Linked DNA regions of Nothobranchius furzeri. The protein of the gene in region 2 binds, or shares a complex with, the protein of the main gene of each other region. Links are inferred from orthologs where the notes say so. Each region holds a gene or a part of one and is shown on either strand. Other genes may lie near its edges. The genes, in order: ssu72 and sympk.

Region 1 (11,410 bases), on a different chromosome or scaffold from region 2:
GCAGGTACGTGTCTTCGGAGCCAACACTCGTTCACCAAATGTCAGTAAGACGGTTAGAAATGCACCGATCCTGGTTTTGAGAGCCGACGCCATTTTTAGTTGTTTCAGGGTTAAAAATAAGAGGTCATAATTTAGAAAAAAGGTGAAAAACACGAAACACAAATCAGATTTTAGTTTCAGGTGGACCTGTCGCAAGTTGAAACAGTCTGCTGAATATCAGTTAGTCTTTACTGACAACAAACCGAACCCAGCTCGATAAATAAATGTTCACACTGCCGCCGCGGAGTACGGTGGAATTTTATGTTTCCCACATTTTTGTTTAGTTAAAATCCATCACACACACACACACTCACACACACACACACACACACACACACACACACACACACACACACACACACACACACACACACACACACCTAAGGACAATTTAGACAATCAACCTAACAGTCATGTTTTTGGACGGTGGGAGGAAGCCGGAGTACCCGGAGAGAACCCACGCATGCACAGGGAGAACATGCAAACTCCATGCAGAAAGACCCCAGGCCGGGAATCGAACCCAGGACCTTCTCGCTGCAAGGCAACAGCTCCAACCACTGTGCCACTTGCCAGCCTAGTTCAAATCTAAATGTAAAATACCACATGTGGGTATTTTTTAAAGCGTGTTGCTTTCTTCCAGGCTGCAGCGTACTCCTCTGAGGACGGCATCTTGACTGAAGCGATGATCGATGCTCGAGTTGATGACGCCGTCAAGCAGCACCATCAGAAGATGGACTGGCTGCGTGGAGAGGAAGAGGCCAAGAGCCTTACTCCTCCTCCTCTTTCTCCTCTTCCAGCTGGGGTGCCAGGCAGCGGTGGAAAAAGGGGTTTTACTTTACCCCTAAAGGACACTCCTCGGGCTGAGGAGGCGATCGCTCCAGTTCTTGACATAAATCTGCCTTCCCCCTCTGACGGTGACCAATCAGCAGGTGGTAAACGCATCGACTCAACTGGACCGGGCTGTGAAGCAGAAGCTAAGACTGTGAAGGGTGATTTAAACCAAGATGATGGTGAAAGAAAGCCGGACCAAACTCCCCCCAAGGATGGAAGTCCAGTTTGAGTTTTATGGATTCTGTCTGTTAGAAAGTTTAGCGTCCTCTTCACTAATCAGGTTGTGTCGGAAGCTTTCTGGACGGTTGTCATAACCAAGATAACTAATTACCTTTTCATAACACGAACGATGCCTGACACGTTCATTTTAATTTAGAACCTATAGAAGTATACCTAGAAGCCACGTGTCTGATGAGTTACACTATAAACGTTGTCCAAAGTCAGGTTTCTCTGTCGAAATGATTAAAACCATTTTCATAACAAACATTCTGATGATCAGTGATAAAGCTGAGGTTTCCTATCCGGGGATGGGGGTGAGTTTTAATGCTGTAACGTGGGGACGAGTCCACGGTTGGCTGGATTTCCTGCAAGAAGCCTGGAAAACCAGATGGGGAGATGGACTCATGATTCAAAAAGGCTTTGTTCTCATGTTTTAGAGGCAAGGTTGAGTTTAAAGTAAAAAATGTGCAAAGAAAAGTGCTAAAACTCTAAAGTGCAATCTAACCTGTGTCAGAATTTAAGATGAAAACTACAAATGAACGTATTAAATGTGAAGCCATTGATGAGCTGATCAGAACCAAACTACTAGTTCAAAAAGCAGAAGAAAATCTAAACGCAGGAGCAGTGTGTGTGCGTGTGTGTGTGTGTGCGCGCGCGCGGACCTTCAGATGACTATAGAGGAGATTTAAGTAACTTTGGCATCCTCCACCCCTCTGTAGCTCTGTATGCACACTTGAATGTTTGGGTCATCTGTGACTCCCTCTCATGATCGTCTGCACACAGATTCTGTGATAAAGAGCTGCAGCCACTTTACTTTCTGAGGTGTCCGACAGCCTGTTGGTGTAGGAACATCACAGCACATGATCACAAGGACCGTTAAAGCTGTCCCGAGGTATCTGTACACCACTACCCCAGCTGCAGGACGCCTACACCCACCGCTGCAGGAGGAAAGCATCAGGTGTCACGAATCTCCCACCTCCCCTTAGGAGAGCACATCATCATCTGCTGATGTCATCGTTTTCCAAATGTATTTTTGTTTTAATGAGTGAGCGCCAGGGCAAGAGGCATTTCATAGCATTCTGTCTACTCTGTACTTGATTTAACACAAAGTTGAAACTTGAACACACACAGGGATGGACTTATTGACACTGATCCAGGAATCAACAGCAAAACGTTTGAAAATGTGTGCGTTTTCGCTCGGTGGGTGTTGTTATGACATGGGAAACAGGAGAAATTAGAAAATAGTTGAGAAAAGATAATCTGACGGAATTCATCATAGCCGACAATGCAATAATCAATCAGTGTATTAAAAAGGTACTGATATGAATATAAATAACTAAACTGGTGAACTTCAGAAGGAAATTGTAAACTAAAGTAAAAATAAAACATTGATTAAACTGATAACTGTCGTCATCGACCATTAAGTTAATCCTGCAGCTTTACACGCATTTACCATTTTCATACAGTTACAAAATAAAATCGTTTAAAATACTCGCACAAGGGGCCGTTTTGCATCCCTTAATGAAAACTTTAAAGTCTTTCCAATGAAACTGTCAGTTTAAGCAGTTCGTAGAAAACACTAAACTTTCTTCGCTGGAACAAGCTGCATACTTTATCTTACACATCTGCATCGACAGATGTGATCCTCTCCCCTCCTCTCACCAGCGGAAGGGTCAGATGAGGAACGCGTTCATGTCTGATGGAAAAATCCCAGTTTGACACAACAAAAGGTTACTGGTATTTACTAATGACCTCTAGGGGTTTGCTGTTCCCACATGGGGGCGAGGACGTGAACCTCGTATTAAATATATCAGTTACTTTTTCACAGAAAATAGTTCCGCAGTGACGTCACTTCCGGTCCGATCTATTTACCGCGGAGGGAAATTCGCTGCGTATTAAATTTACAGTATTTGAAAATCTTCATTTCTAAGAGGCTTAATGCAAGTTTTATATTTTATACAAACTAAGTGGTTTGCTGGTTTTCACTTGTCTGCTTCTAGATATTTTTATTTGTTTAGTGATGAAAACCCTCATTGAAAACACAGAACTACAATTCAAATGTTAAAACTTTATTTGTCTTTAGAGACGTACCCCTTTAAGGCCCGAGTGCTCCAGTTTCAAGAGATTTTTTGCAACACTTTTCAACCATTTTCTCAAAGGATTTAGGTCAGTGTTTAAAATCTTATTTCAGTTTAAGAAATTGCCTTTTTTTAAACCTAGATCCACTTATTCCACATTAGTGTATTCCACATTCTCTAAACTACATCCAAAACTAACACAAACACGTGCCTTCCTAACAGTTTGTAGATTAACTAAAGTTATTCACAGCTAATAAGTTGCCCCAGATTCTAAATACGCATATTTTTCAAAAGTTCAGACTGAATAAGAGAATACAAAACCAGGAGTCGCCGAAACGTCTAGATGTCACTTTCTTTAGTTGACTCATATATACATACAGAAAAATCAGGCACTCAGAGCTGAACTTGCCATTTGAAAATAATTACAAAGCTTAAATTCTTTACATTTACAAAAGGAAAAACAAGCTATGCTCTGGAGGGGGGAAAAAAACAATGCATTTGAGAGCTTAAATATGAAATCAGCATATTATAACGGGTCCATACTAGAGAAGGTCTTGGTTTGGTTGTTCATCAGCCCACCTTAACTTAATCATAACGCATCTATAACACAACGTGAACAAAAATACAATTCAGTTACCATGTCTCCTGCATGTAAACACATCTAGTATGGCCCAACTTAAAAACCTCTCATCTTGAAAAATTTACAGTACTGATTAAGATGAAAAGCCATCCGCAATCAGCACAATTATGCCACTTAGAATGAAGAGGACTTGCAGAGAACCTGCTAAAACTGTGTGTGTGTGTGTGTGTTATGGCTCTCCTGAGGGGACATGGTTCAGTGATTTGATTTGACCGAGATCAGGGGCAGAACCTTTACCAAAGCTCAGTCTGGAGGAATGAAGGCATAAGGAGAGCAGCAAGTCCATCCTCTGCACAGAGGAAATTACCAACCTTTATAAGTCTAACAGATCCTGAAGCAGAGCTGTGTGTGTGTGTGTGTGTGTGTGTGTGCAGATGCACAGTGCCTTTACACTGTCATACATGTAACTGTCTGTACATATTCTGTTTGACTGGGATCCAAGTGTGTGTTTTATTGCAAATTTCTAAAGTGTATCAGTAGAAGCAAACAGTGTGAAGAAAGGGCCGGTTGCTCTTCTCCTCAAACTCCTGTACGAGCTCATCGATTTCATTTTCCATATCGTCGGTGTGCTGGATCTGCAGGGATGATGACAGACGCGTCATCAACACAACTTGTACATAACACACACTTAACGGTCACTTCATAAAAAAAAAATCTAAAATAACTTACACACTGACACAGCTCACAGATGAGAAATGCACCTAACGTGGCTTCTTCATGGTTGTCCTGGATGTCTACATTGATTACATGCACGGGCTGCAACGTCTCCTGCTCCCTTGAGTTCAAATCTAGAACGAAAAAAAGAAAAACATTAACATGTAATTTTCTGTAATAAAAAAACAACTTCTGAGAGCAGCAAAAGACAAAATCAGGCTTTTCCCATGAAAATCCTCACCCTCCAACACCTGGTCATAGACCCTCTCTTCACAGGTGACGACCAGGTCAAACTTGTCTTTGCATAGCTGAAAGCGCTCTGGTTTGGTTTTGATGCGTTTGTTGCGGTCCAGCATGTGCAGGATGCCATTCTGTGTGTAGCTGATGAGTAAAGGTCAAGGAACACAGCAGCAGGAACTGCAGCAATACAGGCAAACTGTCACACTATTAAATATAAGATGACAGTAAACAGGTGCTTTCTCAGCCTACTCAGTGTTTTAAATGGTGTGTGAGGGACTCGCACTGTAGCACCCTCTAGTGGTGACACCAGTAAGAAGTCAATTAAATAACTAGATCATTTCTGGAAGACAGCAAGCGAACTGCTGAGGCATTTTTAATACCCAAATGTTCAAAGGCCACACTGATACTATCAGTTATAACATTTTTTATTCTAATTTCACTTTGTTTTCAATGCCAGCGGTCTTATCCACCACAAAAGGGGCAAAACCGTATTTTCTATTGGGACATGTTGGGATTTACAAAGAATGTAGGAAAAAAAAAAAGATTTGAGCCAAACTTACCACAAGCTACCTGAAAGCACACCCTCACCACTGAAGATGCAAGTAGATTAAGCACATATGTGACGCCTTCAGGTCTCTTAAGCTCACAAAAGGCCTCTGCACATAAATATTGAGTCTAATAAAATAAGTTTTTAAAACAAAATTAACTAGAAAAATGTATTTTACATCTTGTTAGTGGAGACCCCAGTTGAACTATGAAAGGTACTAATATAAATAACTAGTAGTGATAAACACTCAAGTCTTTATTCTACTCAGATTACTCTTGAGACTTTAACACATATTCAGACCAGTTTGTGTTCAACCCCAATTTAAAAGGCTTAAATATTATAGAACACTTGACTCATCTGTTGCTCCTGTTATTATTTTTGGCTTGTGGCAGGATAATTTCCCCATGTAGGTCATTTTAAAGCTCATCCCCCCCCCTGTTTTCCTGACCCCTCCTCCAGATTTTACTGGATAGACTCCAGCTGATGCTGACTAGTGCAGATGACAGAAAAGAGCAAAGAACAGGGATAAAAACACAGCCAGATACATGTGAACAAAGTGGATTCACACCAGCGGATTTCAGTGCGATCCTCTCACCGTAGATGCTAGTCTAACAGCTCATTACTGTATTGGAGCCAGACCCTACCTCATTTAATAACCATGCAACCAACTGTTCTTAGTTCCAGCATGTCATTTACCCACCGGTGACCTCCCATCGCATGTGCTGTCCCAAGACCACCACCTACATCACATGTTACACAAGTCATGTTTAGTTATGTGTGAGGGGGGAAAAGGGTGAGTGTCAAGGGGATACAGTTCCTTGTCCTTGCGGACCAAGTCGTTGTACATCTGTTCATAAGTAGTTTTGAAGTCGTACACATTGGGTTTATCCGGGGAGGGACCGGGTAGCTTCACGTGAGACCCCGTCCCAAACGATCGCACGTCAAATCCACGCTTGCTGCAGAAAGAGAAGGACAAGAGTTAAGGGTGTGAGAAAGTAACATAAGACAGCAGGATGTAAATCTTTAAGCTGCAAAGTCAGGATTTCTGTAAATTTTGGGTCAGTTTCTTCCATCTGTGCTGTTTAGAGTAACTAAATGATTTATTAACTCAGCTAAAAATGTTCCATGAGAACTTCGGAGCTGAATTAATCTGAACAAGAAAACGCCCTTCATTTAAAAAAATCCTTCTCAATCTTAAAGCATCGAATCACGTGACTGAACATCAACTTGTGTTGCACAACTGTAGTCTTCTTCCGGAATGTTCCCCTCCAGGGGGCGCTGTTGTCCACATGTAGGTAAAAAACTAAAGCGATTTTTTAAAAGAAATCTCTGAAACTGTAACGGACACTAAAACCTGTGTAGTTGACTAATTTAGACAAGCCCTCAAACCCAGTCAAAGCAGTGTTTTGGGGTGAGCTACATCCCCGGTGGGGCACTCGGAGAAGTGTGTGTCCATTGTTAAACTGCGTTAGGCCTGTCATGGTGCCGCCGGTACAGCTTGTGACCGGCAGAGGAAAATACATGTCGTTCTCTTCGTGGTGGCTTTGCTGCTGTCATCTCCCCGGTGGCTCGTCTTTACCTGAGGATATTGTGCGCTTCCATACTGCGGTTCTGGTTGCTCGAGCACACAACCGCTACACGCAGCGGGTGGCTCGGCATTGCGACTCTCCGGCTGAAACGGTCACAAACACTTCAGAAACTAACACGGATTTATTAGTTGCCTTTCTGCGGGTAAAATACAAGATAAACACCTGTCTAAGGTAACCTAAATTGCGTCTAGAGATGTAACACTGAAGTACGTTCGTCTTCTTCTCAGGCAGGAAGTTAAAATGGCGGAACAGCGGTTCGGGAAGGGGGCTTTCTAGGATGATGTCATCAGTAGGCGGAGCTTTCGTGTGGGCAGTCAGTAAAACAGGAAGTACTGGATTTAAAAAATTTGTAATAATTTAATAAAGCCCTGATCAACAATACACAAACATGTCACTTTCAGTCAAATCAAATTACACACCTTTATCAGACCTAAGTGGATGAAATGAGGATCAAATATTTTATAAAAGAGAAACAAAAAGTAAAGGCTAAGGGTAAACATTTCATGTCTTTAAAGCAGTCGCAGTGCTTCTTCCATTTCAGTTTATTGCAGAAGGTATGCAACAGAGGTTTGCATGTTAGAAATCTACTTGAAGTACTAGAAAATGATATTTAAACGTTTTTTAATACTTGGATTAACTTTTCACAAAGTAATAATAATGATAATGTGGAGTAAAATTTGTTTTATTTAAGAACCACCCAGCGCTTCTATTAGACAACACACACACACACACACACACACACACACACACACACACACACACACACACACACACACACACACACACACACACACACACACACACACACACACACATATATGTGTGCGAGCGTGTGTGTGTGTGTGTGTGTGTGTGTGTGTGTGTGTGTGTGTGTGTGTGTGTGTGTGTGTGTGTGTGTGTGTGTGTGTGTGTGAATAGTGTTATAGTAAGACACTATATACAACAGTAGTTCTTATGCAGACACTATAATGTGTCTGCATAAGAACTACTGTTGTATATAGTGTCTTCTCTTATTTTTTTACATTTGTGGTCACTTCATTACAGGTAACGTCACATAGTTCACTGTGGCAACGCACACATTTCCCTACGTGTGTGTGTGTGTGTGTGTGTGTGTGTGTGTGTGTGTGTGTGTGTGCGTGCGTGTGTGTGTGTGTGTGTGTGTGTGTGTGTGTGTGTGTGTCTGCTCTGTCTTCTCGATCCCCAGTGAGTCTTGGCGGATGGCTGCTTATACTGAGCCAGGATCCTCTGGTTTCTTCCTGTTAAAAGGGAGTTTTCTCTCCACTGTTGCTGCATGTTTGCTTAGTATGAGGATTTCTGTAAAGACACTGACACGAGTCAGTGACTCAATGCAACTGATTGCCTTAATGAACTGAACTGTATTGCAATGTATAATTTAGATGATTTGGTGCTATATACTGTAATATAAGTCCTGTGGGTCAGAAAACTACTTGCTATCGTGACGTTACTGAACTTCAGTGAAAAAAAATTGATTTCTGATTTAAAAATAAAACTGCATTGCCAAGAGCAATTCACTAGTGCTGTCAGTGTCATGCTGCTGCTCATGAATGTTGCAAAAAAAGCATTTTATTGGGATAATTGCCAACAATTTCCTTTATTGTCAGTTTGAATGTAAACATCACTCAGATTCAAGTCACTTAGTCAAAGTTTTGAACCACATGATTCAGAGCAGCAGTTGCAGGCCCTGTGATAGGTCCTTGTTTGATGTTTATAACATGGATTAGGTACAACTGACAAGAAATGCTATGAAACCATTATTGCCTGCATGGCTCTCTCTGACCCATAGTGGCTGGCTGCAGAAATAGGCTTCATTTTAGGTTTAACCCTCTTTATTTAAACAAATTGGATTTCAAAAGAATAAAATTCATTCAATACATTTTTGTCTGGATGTTAACTTCTTCAGCAGTAGTGGCAGTTGCCAAGGCAAAATCTCGTGCGTGGGAAGAGTTTGGTGAGGCCATGGAGAAAGACTATCAATCGGCTCCAAAAAGGTTCTGGCGAACTGTTCGGCGCCTCAGGAGAGGGAGGCAGCAACTCGCTCACACTGTTTACAGTGGGGATGGAGAGCTGCTGATGTCAACTGGGGCTATAGTCGGACGGTGGAAGGAATACTTTGAGGAGCTCCTCCCACCTACGCGCATTCCGAGGAGGAACCAGAGACGGGAGACCTGGGGATGAACTGTCCAATCTCGGGGGCAGAAGTTGCTGAGTTTGTCAAACAACTACACCGCGGCGGAGCCCCGGGGGAGGATGAGATTCGTCCTGGGTATCTCAAAGCTATGGATGTTGTAGGGCTGTCATGGTTGACACGTCTCTGCAACATTGCGGGGTTATCGGGGGCAGTTCCTGTCGAGTGGCAGACCGGGGTGGTGGTCCCCATCTTTAAGAAGGGTGACCTGAGGGTGTGTTCCAACTATAGGGGGATCACACTCCTCAGCCTCCCTGGAAAGGTCTACTCCAAGGTACTGGAGAGGAGGGTCCGATCGATAGTTGAATCTCAGATTGAGGAGGAGCAATGTGGTTTTCGTCCTGGCCGTGGAACTGTGGACCAGCTCTATACCCTTGCAAGGGTGATGGAGGGGGCATGGGAGTTTGCCCAACCAATCCACATCTGTTTTGTGGATTTGGAGAAGGCTTATGACCGTGTCCCCAGGGGCACCCTGTGGGGGACGCTCCAGGAGTATGGCATGGGTGGCTTTCTGTTAAGGGCCATTCAGTCCCTTTACCAGAGGAGCGTGAGTTTGGTCCGCATAGCCGGTAGTGAGTCGGACCTGTTGCCGGTGAGGGTTGGACTCCGCCAGTGCTGCCCTTTGTCACCGGTTCTGTTCATTACCTTTATGGACAGAATTTCTAGGCGCAGCCGTGGTGTGGAGTGTTTCGAGTTTGGTGGCAGGAGAATCTCGTCTCTGCTTATCGCAGATGATGTGGTCCTCCTAGCTTCATCCAGCTCTGACCTTCAGCTCTTGCTGGGTAGGTTCGCGGCCGAGTGTGAAGCGGCTGGGATGAGGATCAGCACCTCCAAATCTGAGACCATGGTTCTCGACCGGAAAAGGGTGGCTGAGAGAGGGAGAGAGATCCTACCTCAAGTGGAGGAGTTTAAGTATCTCAGAGTCTTGTTCACGAGTGAGGGTAGGAGGGACCGGGAGATCGACAGGCGGATTGGTTTGGCGTCTGCAGTGATGCGGACGGTGAGTCGATCTGTCGTGGTGAAGAGGGAGCTGAGCCAGAAAGCCAAGCTCTTGATTTACCGGGTGGCCGGGCTCAGCCTTAGAGATAGGGTGAGGAGCTCAGACATTCGGGAGGGACTCAGAGTAGAACCGCCACTCCTCCGGATCGAAAGGAGCCAGTTGAGGTGGTTTGGGCATCTGGTCAGGATGCCTCCTGGACGCCTCCCTGGGGAGGTGTTTCGGGCATGTCCTGCCGGCAGGAGGCACCCGGGTCGACCCAGGACACGTTGGAGAGGTTACATCTCCAATCTGGTCCGGGAACGCCTTGGGGTCCTGCCGGAGGAGCTGGTGGAGATGGGCTGGGAGAGGACGGTCTGGAGTTCCCTTGCTGGGATGCTGCCCCCGTGACCCGGACCCGGATTAGCGGACGACGACGACGTTAACTTCTTTTGATTTACAAAGTTTCCTTCTAGCAGCTGCACGTTTAAATAGCATTAGTTATCTGATGCTCACAAACATAAATGTCACAGCATCTTGTGCTCATCCTTCGTCCTCTTCGTTGGGTCTTGGTGAGAAACCTCACTCTGGATGTAACTAAAGCTGAATCACTCTCTCACAAAGAGAACAATAAGAACAGCTGTAAAATATTAAAAGGGACCTCTTTTATTTTTAGTCAATAAGACAAAAGAAATCTAGCTCATGATGCTTGGCACAGTATTAGGATTGTACACTAGTATTGCCCTTTACAAATACAAATACATGCAGATCTAAAAGCAATACCAGACATTGATGATTGGGTGAAAAGTTTCATTCAGAACGTTGTTCCTGTGGATGTCAACAAGAATTCTCTCAGAGACATCAACAAAACCATTTCTGTCACAAGACCCAAAACCATGTCATGGGGCCGTCAGTGTATTGCTGTTTAATGGGCCTGCTAAGACCAGAGATCATAACAGTTGTTTTGGTTTCGTGCACCCTGCCAGAGGTGGGCGGGGCTTGTTCTTTTCAGAACAGATTGTGCGTCAGGATACTATCCTGCTGACAATGACACGTGTTTACGTGATCTTCTCTGGCATTAGTGACGTGTGTGACTACGGTAAGAGTACGCGTGCTGCGCGGTGGGACTCATGAGATTTTCTGTGATGTATGCCACCAGCAAACAAATGATAACCAGCATCACGCATATAGCCCCTCCCACCGTTGTCATGGCGATCACAATGTCCTGCATCCCGGACGGCGGCAGCGTGAACTCCACGCAGTCTCGCGGCTCTCCCTGATCCGGGTCGGACCGGGCCGGTGAGGAGCGCAGACAGATTCGGTATGGGATGTTCTCGTGCAGGTCGGACAGGAGGAAGTCCCTGCAGCCAGATCCAAGATGGACACTCGCG
Region 2 (11,457 bases):
TCTTTAATGCAGCAGAAATGTTACAATATTACCTCCAGCGTCCTTAAATCTTCTGGTGCCCAGATCCATTTACTGGGGTTTGTTTTAAACGAGTAAGGCTGTAGCATGCTGGTGGCCACTTCTTACCAGAAATTATATTTATGTTACTAATATTACTGCCGGTGTTTACTCCCAACTCAACTCCCAAAACAAACAAAACAAAAAAAAAAAACACGACCAGCCTTGGGGAAAATCTAAAAAGGTAAATCTGCTAAAGTCCTCGACAGAAAACTGTTTTTCAGTGGTGATTTTGTTCCATTTGACAAATTTTATGCTCAAAACCGCTGTGAGAAGTTAGAGCAACAGCACTCATTGTGAGCGCCGCTCTGTCTCATCGGCTGCAGCATGCTGTCTGACTGCGATTGGTCAAATGATGACATGTGACTAACACACTAGAACAAAGATTGCTTGTGAACAAGAGGAGTCCCCTTTCTTTTCTATGATTGACTTTCAGAAGAGGGACTGAAACCCGACAGAAGACCCCTCCTCTCAAAAAAAAAAAAAACCCTTTGGATCTACACAATTCACGTGAACGCCACATTTGGATTCTAAAACGGTGATTTTTGCCAAAAAGCGACAAGTTTGCAGGTATGTATATGGTTTACCAGAAAAATAAAGTTGATTTGGGGGTGACTTGCTCTTTAAATAAGAGAGATTCTAGTTTTTTTTGGAATGATAACTAACTGTTGGGCTGCTGAGATCTAGAATTCAAGAACAGCAAATATGGAATATTCTAAATATTAAATGTCATTATTATGAACAATAATGGACCAGAACTGCAAACACATCCACCTCCTGTATAAATGTGGTTTTCACAGACTCTGGTTACCTACAGCTGCTTAAAGGAGTTTTCTGGTGCATAATTTTGTTGCTAACCTGGACCGATTCCAGCTGCTGTCATCTGCGTTGCCATCAGCCGAGCCAGATGTTTGATTTGAGCATCAGTGCCTGCTGACTCTACAGGTGTGTATGTGGCCTGGAAGGATGCTGGCATGACATCAGGCAGGTACACCATGCTAATGAGCACCTGATTGAGGAAGAATAAAGGGAGGAGCTGTGAGACAGGATAACAACGTGATGGAGAACAGACAGAAAAAGGCAGCGGTTGCTCACTAGGTTTGCTACATTCTCGGGGTTCAGCAGTGGGCGCAGAAACTCAGCTGTGAGGTCAATGGCAGACTGTGCAACTGGAACAGCAACTGGCTTTGAGACAGGGATGGGAGCTGGTTCTTCTTTGTCCTCGTCATCCTCAATGAGAGCTGGCTCTGAGTACAGACAGACAGTCCTCATGAAGAATGATGCAATCACAACTGTTCCAGTCAAATATTTTCTATTGACCTCCAAAAATTCAGTGTCTGTGGTTGTGACCCACCTATCTTGACCTTCTTTCCCTCTGTGTATTGTTCGTAACGAGGTCTTTTGCGCTGCTCCCGTGGTGTGGGCGTGCAGCGGGTTATTTCACTCTGAGGCATTCCTAAATCCAGCAGCAGAGTGCTGATCTGACCCTGGAACTCCAGGCTGCAGGGATGCTTGAGGACCGCCAACAACTGCAGCTTCAGATTCTTTCGAACGCTGCTGACTTGAGACTTGGCCAAAGTCGGAGGTAGATTAGCTAAAAAAAGAATAAATCGATTATATTCTGCAGTTTGATGATAAAAACATCCTCCACTATCGAGAACCTATTCAATTATATGTTGCGTCTGAAAACATCAGAGTTTAGGGCTGTTTTTATACCTGAAGGGTTTCATTGGTCAAAGGTAATGAAAATGACTGACTAAAGGAAACAAACTCCAAAGAAAAACTTCTGAGGTTTCCTCAGAAGAAAAATCTAAAGAAAAGGAGAACCCGATCATGTTTTCGTACAGATATCTAATCCTGGGAAGGATCTGGGAACCAGACTCACCGTGCAGCGTCTCAAACGCCTGGACCACTTTGGACATGAACATCGGTCTCCGTCGGGCGATTGTTGCCAGCGAGCCCAGCGCTGTGGTGAGGTTGATGCTGGAAATAGCTGGATGGATCATGAACGTCAGCAGCTTCTCAAGTGCAGTCTTCCCCTCCTCACACAAAGTATCTGTACATTTGATCACACAGCAAAAGACACTTTCAAAAGTGATCAAAATTGCTTTAAACATTACATTTTGTCTCAGTAAGATCCTAAGATGTGTACCGTAGCGAATGTAGGAATGGTCTTTGGGAACTCTGTCCAGGCTGATGCCCCCTTCCTGTTGCTTGGGGACGTCAGACTCAGCTGTTCGCGGTGACAAGGTGATGATTAAAGATTCTGTGAACTTGATTGCATGCGTGCGAACACCATCATTCTCAGAGTCGAGTAGGATCAAAACGTCCCCGGTCATTTGTGTAACCAAATTCCAGCATGCCTCCTGCATATCCGATATGGTTTTGACACGCACCAACCACTGGCGTGAAAGTCAAGAGGAAAGAAATCAGAATCTCGAGGATGTAAGGAGCGAGCTGGTGAATTCAGGGACAGGAACGCTGACCTGTAGCGTAACTTTGTACAGCTGAGTGAGGGTGAGGATGGCCTTCTTCACCACATTAACGCTCTCATCCTTCAGCAGCATGTTCAGGTTGGCGATCAGTCGGACCAGGAGCTCGTTGTCCCTTTTACTGGAAAAATCAGTAACAGGAAAAAAAGGTTGAGAAAGTTCTGCTTTTCTTTTGATCAATGTTAAGCTTGGACATGTTGGATGTTTCATTACTCACCAGGCCTCCTCTATAAACCCAATGACAAACTTTCTCACTTCAATAGACTTGTCGGTCTGGAAAGCGATGATCTCCTACAGTTTAAAACACGGGAATAAGAGTAAGTTAAAAAGACAATGTGTGCTGAAATATAACATGTTCTAATATCCAGAGACATGACAGCTTGGTTTTGAGACTCACTCAGGGAGAGTAAATAATCCTTTTTTTGTCTTGTTATATTTAATGAGGAATCCTAAATGTGCCCATACTTACATCCAAAAAATTATCAAGAAGAGAAGGATCCTTGTTGATGATAAGCTCCTGAACCTGAAATAAATTCATATTGTCAAAATTGTTTTACTCCAGCTTCTTTTTCTGAAGAGATCTTGATTAATAGATTATAATCCAGCACATATTGAGTAGAGCTGAGGAAAATAATCAAATAATCGATGCATCGGGATGCGGACATAAACGATTCTGCATCGTAGAAGAGTACGCCATAATCGATTATGGTGGAATGTAGTTTTGTTCTTTTAATGGCGGCACCAGCACAGATCCAAATCTGTCAGAGTGAGCGTCCTCCACATTTACCAAGTGGTTCCGCATTAATGTGGTACTGCAGGGCTGAGCGCTTGAGTTGTAACCTGAGACCGAACCGGAACCAAATCAGCCCGACCGGTTCTGTTGGATTTGGGCCGTGAAATATGTTAATTGAGCGGGTTGTCACGCGGCGCGCTCCGCTCTCTCAGCGACTGAGAGAGAGAGAGAGACTGTCCGCTCACACGAGAGGATCGGAGGACGCCCCTCCAAAGCGATGCTCCAAACACGCATTATTATTTTCATAATTTAATTTTTTTTCTCCTGGAAGCGCTCAGTCAGACCAAGTGTTGTAATGCTGGGAGATCCGGTCTCGGGGGAGGGGGCGGGGTCAATGACGGCGGCTGCAGCGTGATCGTCTGTCTCTTTTATTTAGGGACACGGAGAAGTTAAAAGGAGAGAGAAATAGAAGAAAGAAGTTCTTGTTCCACTTTATTCTTTTGTTTCATGATGATAAACTGATGTTAGCTTCAGCTTAAAGAGAAGCTGGGAGGAAGCTTTGGTTCATTTTAGGTTACAGGAGACTTGTCTCATATCTGCTCCTCCAGAGACAGCATGGACATGACGGTTACATGGTGAGGGTGACACAGGACAGGTTACTGGAAAGGTTTGTAGTTAGCTGGTTAGTGAAAGAGATCTATCAGCTGGGTATTTTAATCCTAATCCAGCCCACAGCCTTCTGCTGGTGTTATTATCAGGAAGAATAAAACACACATCTTAAATATTATTGGAAGTGTAGAATTTGTTTTATGTTTTATTATTTTCTGCATCAAACAGAACTTGATTCATTCTCCAACATTTCAGAAACGAACCACTGGGTTCAAATAAAATAAACTAAGTCAAACATTTCATTTGGTGTTATTTCTGACACCCTTCAACTGCAGCATAAATATTTGACTCTAGAGCTGCTCAGAGACATTAAACACTCATATATGAACCCATTATGGATTTTATTACTACATTATGTTGTGTCCTGTGGGTTTTCAGTACTTTTTTAGATTTTGTGAGATTTTGTAAAGCATGTTTTCTCAGCCTGAGGCGTGGTGTTGAACGAGGAAACAGATTGTTTTACTTTGTTAAATCTTCTTAAATGTTTTGTCCTAACCTGTTGTGAATGGAGAGATTTTGAGGGATGGCAGGTTGTATCAATTACGTTTTTGATTAAAAAAAAAGCAATTATCTGACATCTTCTATTTATCGATGAAAACAAATCAATATGAAATAATCGTGATGCATCGGGATATCGGATCGAATTGAATCGTTGACCCAATAATCGTAATCGAATCGGGAGACAAGTGAAGATTCACACCTCTAATATTGAGGGCCAGATTATATGTTGAGCATGTTAAAAGCAGGAGAAACCTTTAGAATACAGATTATTTATTCAAAATATCATAGATCTGGAATGTTCTAAGTTATTGTAATTTTTGTGTGTTTTAGTTGGTACTTGCAGCAATAATTAGACAGCAAACCTGTTTGAGAATTGTTAGCTTTTCATCAGTTGGCATCAGAGCAGCTTGATTCAGCAGCTCCACAACCTGAAAGGAAAAAGAAAACCCAGTGAATTTCTCTTTCAAAGCAGATTTACTTTTAAGTAAAAACACAACTGGTACACGACTAAAACAAATAACTGAGTTGTTATTATTAGAAAAGACAATTTTTGCAGTTTAACAAAAGTTGCCCCATACTCGGAGATATAGGTGACTTTACTGTGACATGGGTTAGTTGGAGTAAAACTGCTTTAATTTTCCATCCAAGTGACTATGATTCTGGTCATAGCCATTGGCTTTAAAGGCAATAATGAGACACTCAATCTTAAACCTCAGTCCACAGATGTGAGCCTCTGTTGAAGAACCTTCCTAAATGTTGGGGTCATCTACATCTACAATATGTATGTTAGAGTGAACTGACATTTATAGGCTCATTAAAAAGGAAATTCAATCAAAATCCCTAAAAATAATAGTTGTTTTTATTAATACAAACTGAGCTAGATGTATTTACCAGACCATAGCAGTTTATTTATAAAGTATATTTAGAAATAGCATGGCAGCTAACCAAAGTGCTGTACAGGAGAGCAAAACACTCTCACACACAACAACAAACAACTAGTTTGAACAACCAGTGACTGCTGGTTAAAGTCTGGTGTTATTGGAAATTATTCAACTCACAAATTTAAACTTTAAATTAAAAACAAAATGAAAAGATGAAATTCTTTTGGAGGAAAACACAGTATGTAAGATTCTGGAACCACATCACAGTCAGCATAACAGAAAGTTTTCTAAAGCCTCGACACCAACATGGAAACAGTAATTATTAGAAAATATATTAATTCATGTATATTTAACTTGTACATCCCATAATCTGAAGGGGGAAAATAATATAATTAAAATAATCTTATTGAATAATAAAAAAGACATTACAGACTATTAATCAAGACAGTGATCTCAGTGCTATGGTGTCCCTCTTTAAACTATGTTGCATGAAGAAATGTTCAGTGCCGTACCGGGGATGCTCTATTCGTGAGTGTTTGTCTAATTTACCTTTTCACTTGTGGTGATGTTGACGCTGGGAGTTCCCTCCTCCACTGAAGAAAGCTCCATGTTGCTGCTTTGTGTGTCTCACAGTCCTGACGGCAAGGTTTTAAAAACTCCAATAAACGTCAGATTCTAGAAACAAAATGTTTGCAATATTTACACTAAAACATGAATTAAGCTAAACCAATTACAGTGACGGTGAGAAGAAAACTTAGTTGTAAAACAATAAACGCTTCCCTCCCACCTACGCACATTAATAAGGCTTTAATTGACATTATTTCAACATTACTAGCTTCGTTCTGTGATGCTAGTCAGCGAGCACCTCCATGCTAACCGCATTGCTAACTTCAATAGCAGCTTTAACATTATTTGACAAACGTACGCCACTTAACAGACCTGTTTTTGTGTTCATGTAGAAATTATATATGTTCCGTAAGAGAAACGCACTTACTTAGTATATTTTCCATTACATAAATGGGAAAAACCTATTAGCGCGGAAAAGAAGCCGCTTTCTTCTTGTTCTTCTTCTTCGTACCCCTACTTCTTTTTCTAACCTCTTGGCGCACTGTCGCCACCTACAGTGAAAAGCATGCAAAAACAAAATATTAAATATTCAGTCAAATCTAAAAAGAAAAACAGGGAATTCATCTTCTGTTTTATTTTTATATTGCCTTTCTATTTTAAGCACAAATACTTGCTTGGTTTGACTTTAAAACTTGAATGTGTCCCTTTAAAAAGCCTCATAAGATTAACTAATGCTTAAAATCCCAGTCTCAACAATCTAGTGACACGAATCACCTTTAGATGTTATTAATAAAATTTCATTAGACCATCTTTTTATATTTAGAGCGGCACAAAGATCCCAAAGTTTTTTTCTTTTAAGACTTCAAATCCCAGAAATCTTTGCACAGTAAGTGATGTCACCTGACTGATAAGGGGTGGGTATGCTAATGTTTACAACCAAGATCTGACTACAGTTTCATTGCAACAACAGTGATTTCGTTTATATTGCACCATAATATGAACTGACAATCAAACAGTGGTAAAAAAAATAAATGACTACGTCACATTTTCAGGTAAGATCACATTTTCTTACGCTTTTAATCGCATAACTGCAACGAGCTTGTTAGCGCTTAGCTTGTGAAACAGGCAGCTAAACAGCGACTCTGTTTACATCCTTTTCCCAAACAAATGAGGTGGAAATGCGGCCAAAAGTTCAGTTTAAAAGTGAAGTTTAATTACAGACCTTGGGCATATATCTTATTCTTTTTAAACGATGGTAAGAGTTTGACAGCTAAGACGTGAAAACAGCAGTTTCTTTTAGAGCTTCCTGCTTGTTCGATGTAATTCCTCATTTAGTGTAATTAGTTTTTAGTCTGTCCTCTGAATGCTCTGGCTGTGATAAACAATGTTGTTGTATTTTCTATGCATTGCTGACAAAATCAGTTTATTTTAACAAACGTACACAATTTTCTGCATGAAAACCTAAATCATCACATTTTAAAACAAAACATTTCAACCTAATTAAGTTCTGCGTAAACTGTGTTCTTTATTCATTTAAGTTTGAGTCATATTAAAAATCAAAACATTTTCTAAGTATTTCAACTCATTTTTTAAGTTTTAGAGATTTGTTTCCAAATACAATTTTTAAAAACACATTTTAACAATTAAAATCTCTTTTATGTCAGGATCATAATATAAAATAAATATATGATTTATAAACATCAAAGAGAGGGAAGCCTTCCTGTTGACACCTGGATGTTTTTCAGCGTCCTGATGGAGTGGGTGTTCGTCATGAACCGGATGAGCTCTCAGAGCAGCTCTGCAGCACAGCGGAGGCGGATGGTCCTGGGGGTGGTGATCCTCCTGCTGGTGGATGTCATCTGGGTAGCATCCTCTGAGTTAACCTCTGTAAGGATTTTATCACAGCTTGTCCGGTTTTCACTCCTGCTGTTTTGGGTGGATTTCTTTACACATGTTCACAGTGATTGAGCAAAACAGTTTTGTGAAACTGCTTTTAAAGGCGGAGTCAAAAAAGTTAGTTGTAGCATCAGAAGTGAGATGTGGAGAGTATAAACCTGGCGTGGGAAAAGTGTCGGATTTCCAACAACATATAATTTTATGATTTTATGACTATTTTTTCTGATGTTAATCTTATTCTGTTTTCAGAGCATTTTGATTTTATGACTTTGTTTTGATCTATGTGAAGCACTTTGTGATTCTATGTCTGTGATAAGTGCTATATAAATAAAATGTACTTACTTACATAAAACAAATTATTTTGTTTCTCTGAATCTCCCTTTAGTACATCTTCAAGCGACAGGAATACAACAAACCCTTCTTCAGCACTTTCACCAAGACGTCCATGTTTGTGCTGTATCTGCTGGGGTTCCTGCTGTGGCGGCCCTGGAGGCAGCAGTGTACTGGCACGCTTAAACACAGACACTCTGCATTTGTAAGTTAAACCCTTTGGTGGATATTCCAGAAGGGTTCAAATGAAGGCAACTGGACTTCTTCAGTTTCATGAAGACGTTTTACTTCTCATCCGAGGAACTTTGTAATGAGAAGTGACAAACATCTTCGTGAAACCAAAGAAGTCAAGTTGCCTTCATTAGAACTCTTCTGGATTATCACGACCTGGATGACTGAGAAGCTTCACCAGCACACCTTTGATCGGAAGTGTTTTGGTTTTTGTGATATTGCCTTAGACTACAACAGTAATGTTTCATTGTTTGTATAAACCTGCACCAGGATAAAAAAATCACTTTCTTTTATGGTTACTGACTTTATTTTTCACACATCACACATTGATTCCTGTAGAATCCATTCTCCATCACACAAAGCCACAGAAGGAATTCTTGATTTTGTTGTAGAAGCTGATGCTATTTATCCTGTAGTTTGCAGATGCTGAGGCTTACTTTGCACCCTGCACCAACGACAACACTGTGAACAACTGTTTGGTATGTAGTTTAGAGAAAATTTTGAATAATTGTGCATTTAATGCCGAACTCCAAGTAGTCTTGGTATGCTTTGGAGCTGATTGTTCTTGTCATGGTTGCAGAGTGAACCCCTGTATGTCCCAGTGAAGTTCCAGGATGTACCCACTGATTTCTCTGATTGTTTAAATCGAGACTGTGAAACTTGTGAGTACAGACGCTAATTTAATTTTTTTATTATAAACAAGGTAACATAATTCATAGTCTCTTTTTTTAGATTTATTTATTTCTTCTTACTAAGGCTTTAAATAATAGAAAACGCTTGCATTTTAATGGGGCGTTTCTGAGGCTTTGAACATTTTTGAAATTGAAACAGAAAATTATTAGAGTAAATAGAATTTGCTCTGAGACGAGTGAAAAAGTTGCATATTTACATATTTAGAGTTCGTGTCACATCACTGCTGAAAAAATCATCCAGAAGTGAAAATATACAAGAAACCTGTGTTTATGAGAACATAATCAGAGTAAAGAGTAAACAACTCCATTTTTTTGTGTTCCTAAATCACCTTCACAAGTGGAGGTTTTAAATGCCGTTTACCCACGTGTGGATGAAAACTCTTGGTTTTTCTGAAATGACAACAAAGCTGCTGGCTGCACATTCATTGTTACTTCCTGCTGTAGAAATAACAAATAGTCATTTCTACCTGCTTTTGTGCTTCAGGCGCACTTTAACCCTTCCACTGTCTTAATGAGTGACCCCGCCAGCAAAGTTGACCACTCAGCAGGACTGATGGTTTATCCCTTGAGGTCCACATGGCAGGAATGAGGAGTGAGCACCACCTCACCCCTGCCACGTGGACCTCAAGGGATAAACCATCAGTCCTGCTGAGTGGTCAACTTTCCTGGCGGGGTCACTCATTAAGACAGTGGAAGGGTTAACCTGAACCTGTTGTCACAGAACATTGAATCTGTTTGAAATGGAGAAAATCTCAGCAGAAATATTCTTCCTCTGTTTGCTGATAGGTTGTTACTTCGGTTCAACTAGTGGTGCAGAGAGGACTTTTTAATTTATTTTATTATTTTTGTCAGGATGAAATTAAAATTACTTTTAAATGAGTCACATTTTTGGCTCCAGACAGGGGCTACCTCCCAAAACTCCTTCATGCACATTTATTTAATTCACAAATGCTGTAACGTGTGGTTTCCATTTACTGAGTTTTCTAAGTCCTTGTTGTTTTTAGTGCTTCTATTGTTATTTTTCACCTCTTGGCTCTGAGAGTGACTAGATCACTTTTCTACCGGTTTCTGCCTTTTGTTCTTTTGGGGTCATGCGAGTAAAACTGATGTTAAGATTTAATTAGAAATAGGGATGATTCTGTTCAGGTTTTACCAGCAGGGGGCAGGCATTAGTCAATCAAAATACACAAATAATTAAACTTTGTCCTCAGAACTACTCTTTAAATAATAAATCAATCAAAAATGAATGATAAATTATGATCTACATACTTGAACTCTGTTTTTGGAAATAAATGTAATTAGCTTCTAGCTTTAAACCCTTTAATCACCTGTGGAAGTGTCTCGCTGCACAGAAGCATTCACCTGATGCACACCATTCCAGTTTTCAGTTTTATGACATGAATTAACCCATTTTCTTTCCTTCCTCCCACAGCTGCCAAAAAGCAGCGAGTCCGTTTCAGTAACATCATGGAGGTGCGTCAGTTACCGTCCACTCAGGCCCTGGAAGCCAAACTGTCGCGGATGTCCTACCCAGCTGCCAAGGACCACGAGGCCACGCTGCGAACGGTGGGAAAGCTGACCATCACAGATGTGGCCAAAATCAGTTTCTTCTTCTGCTTTGTGGTGAGAAAACTGCAGCAGCAACTCCTGGCCCAAACCAGGACCTAACTTTAAGAGGCTGAGCAGACAGACGTGTCATCAGATTAAATGTCACATTTCTGTCTGTGTTCATCTTCTAGTGGTTCCTGGCTAATCTGTCCTACCAAGAAGCTCTTTCTGACACGCAGGTAGCCGTAGTCAACATTCTGTCTTCCACTTCAGGTCAGTTTCTGTTCCGTCTTCTGTGGACTTGTGTTAAAGAAGTATCAAATTATTCTTTGAATCATTTTAAAGAGCAAGTCACCCCCAACCAGATTCTTACTCAACTTCCACTTCCTGTTTGAAAAATGCAGACCGAGAGGGCGGAGCCGCTAACAAATAAACACACACAGGCTCGCAATGACATTGTGACATCATATGGTACCAGCTAACGTTCTAGGGTACATCTTAGCCAATAGCGAAGGCAGATTTAAATTCAAATGCAGTGCAGAGTCTTTACCTGACAACGGCACAACACTGACAGTTTTAGGCAGAAAATTAAAATTTTAACTAAAATGCACTAAAGTGCAAAACTATTGGCTACATTAGCAAAAGAGATAGCAGTCCCACCTGATGCAGATACATTTAATAATGTGATAAATAGTAATATCAATTCAATGTTTATACATGAGGTAAGTGAAAACGATGTTGTAAATATAGTAAGAAAATTTACAAACAAAAAATCTACAGATATACATGAAATTGATATAGGAATGATAAAAGAGGTTATATTTTCTATAGTGAGACCATATTATATATATATATATATA

Evidence for each region.
Region 1: the proteins of sympk (region 2) and ssu72 are in contact, whole or in part, in a crystal structure (PDB 4H3K), measured with the Homo sapiens proteins. The link is inferred for Nothobranchius furzeri from reciprocal best matches to the Homo sapiens genes SYMPK and SSU72. Residues at the interface, in NP_004810.2 of Homo sapiens: Val123, Lys127, Leu131, Gln135, Asp175, Asn176, Asp177, Gly178, Thr181, His182, Lys185, Glu188, Pro204, Arg205, Arg206, Gln207, Ser250, Ile251, Thr254, Thr255, Asn262, Ala290, Ser292, Gln293, Ser295, Ser296, Lys299, Asn300, Leu303, His304; in NP_054907.1 of Homo sapiens: Glu113, Tyr116, Asp117, Val120, Asn124, Glu127, Gln128, Glu129, Thr130, Cys131, Gln132, Pro133, His135, Asp167, Glu169, Asn170, Asp173, Gln177, Glu180, Thr186, Phe187, Leu188, His189, Thr190, Val191, Phe193.

What each region holds. Positions count from the first base shown.
Region 1 is NC_091743.1:46,311,030-46,322,439, forward strand, and holds ssu72 (RNA polymerase II subunit A C-terminal domain phosphatase SSU72), read right to left. Parts: upstream 7,063-11,410; 5' UTR 6,908-7,062; coding exon 6,828-6,907; intron 6,205-6,827; coding exon 6,061-6,204; intron 4,843-6,060; coding exon 4,703-4,842; intron 4,596-4,702; coding exon 4,477-4,595; intron 4,383-4,476; coding exon 4,281-4,382; 3' UTR 4,239-4,280; downstream 1-4,238. Other genes in the region: atad3 (ATPase family AAA domain containing 3), read left to right, coding at 1-4, 680-1,099; fndc10 (fibronectin type III domain-containing protein 10), read right to left, coding at 11,098-11,410. UniProt on the Homo sapiens protein: Protein phosphatase that catalyzes the dephosphorylation of the C-terminal domain of RNA polymerase II. Plays a role in RNA processing and termination. Plays a role in pre-mRNA polyadenylation via its interaction with SYMPK.
Region 2 is NC_091747.1:24,056,653-24,068,109, forward strand, and holds the start of sympk (symplekin), read right to left. Parts: upstream 6,457-11,457; 5' UTR 6,328-6,456; intron 6,009-6,327; 5' UTR 5,943-6,008; coding exon 5,883-5,942; intron 4,881-5,882; coding exon 4,815-4,880; intron 3,073-4,814; coding exon 3,019-3,072; intron 2,841-3,018; coding exon 2,767-2,840; intron 2,671-2,766; coding exon 2,544-2,670; intron 2,460-2,543; coding exon 2,210-2,459; intron 2,114-2,209; coding exon 1,943-2,113; intron 1,652-1,942; coding exon 1,412-1,651; intron 1,305-1,411; coding exon 1,153-1,304; intron 1,067-1,152; coding exon 916-1,066; intron 1-915. Other genes in the region: solute carrier family 35 member F5, read left to right, coding at 7,653-7,787, 8,182-8,331, 8,774-8,836, 8,938-9,019, 10,482-10,672, 10,789-10,870. UniProt on the Homo sapiens protein: Scaffold protein that functions as a component of a multimolecular complex involved in histone mRNA 3'-end processing. Specific component of the tight junction (TJ) plaque, but might not be an exclusively junctional component. May have a house-keeping rule.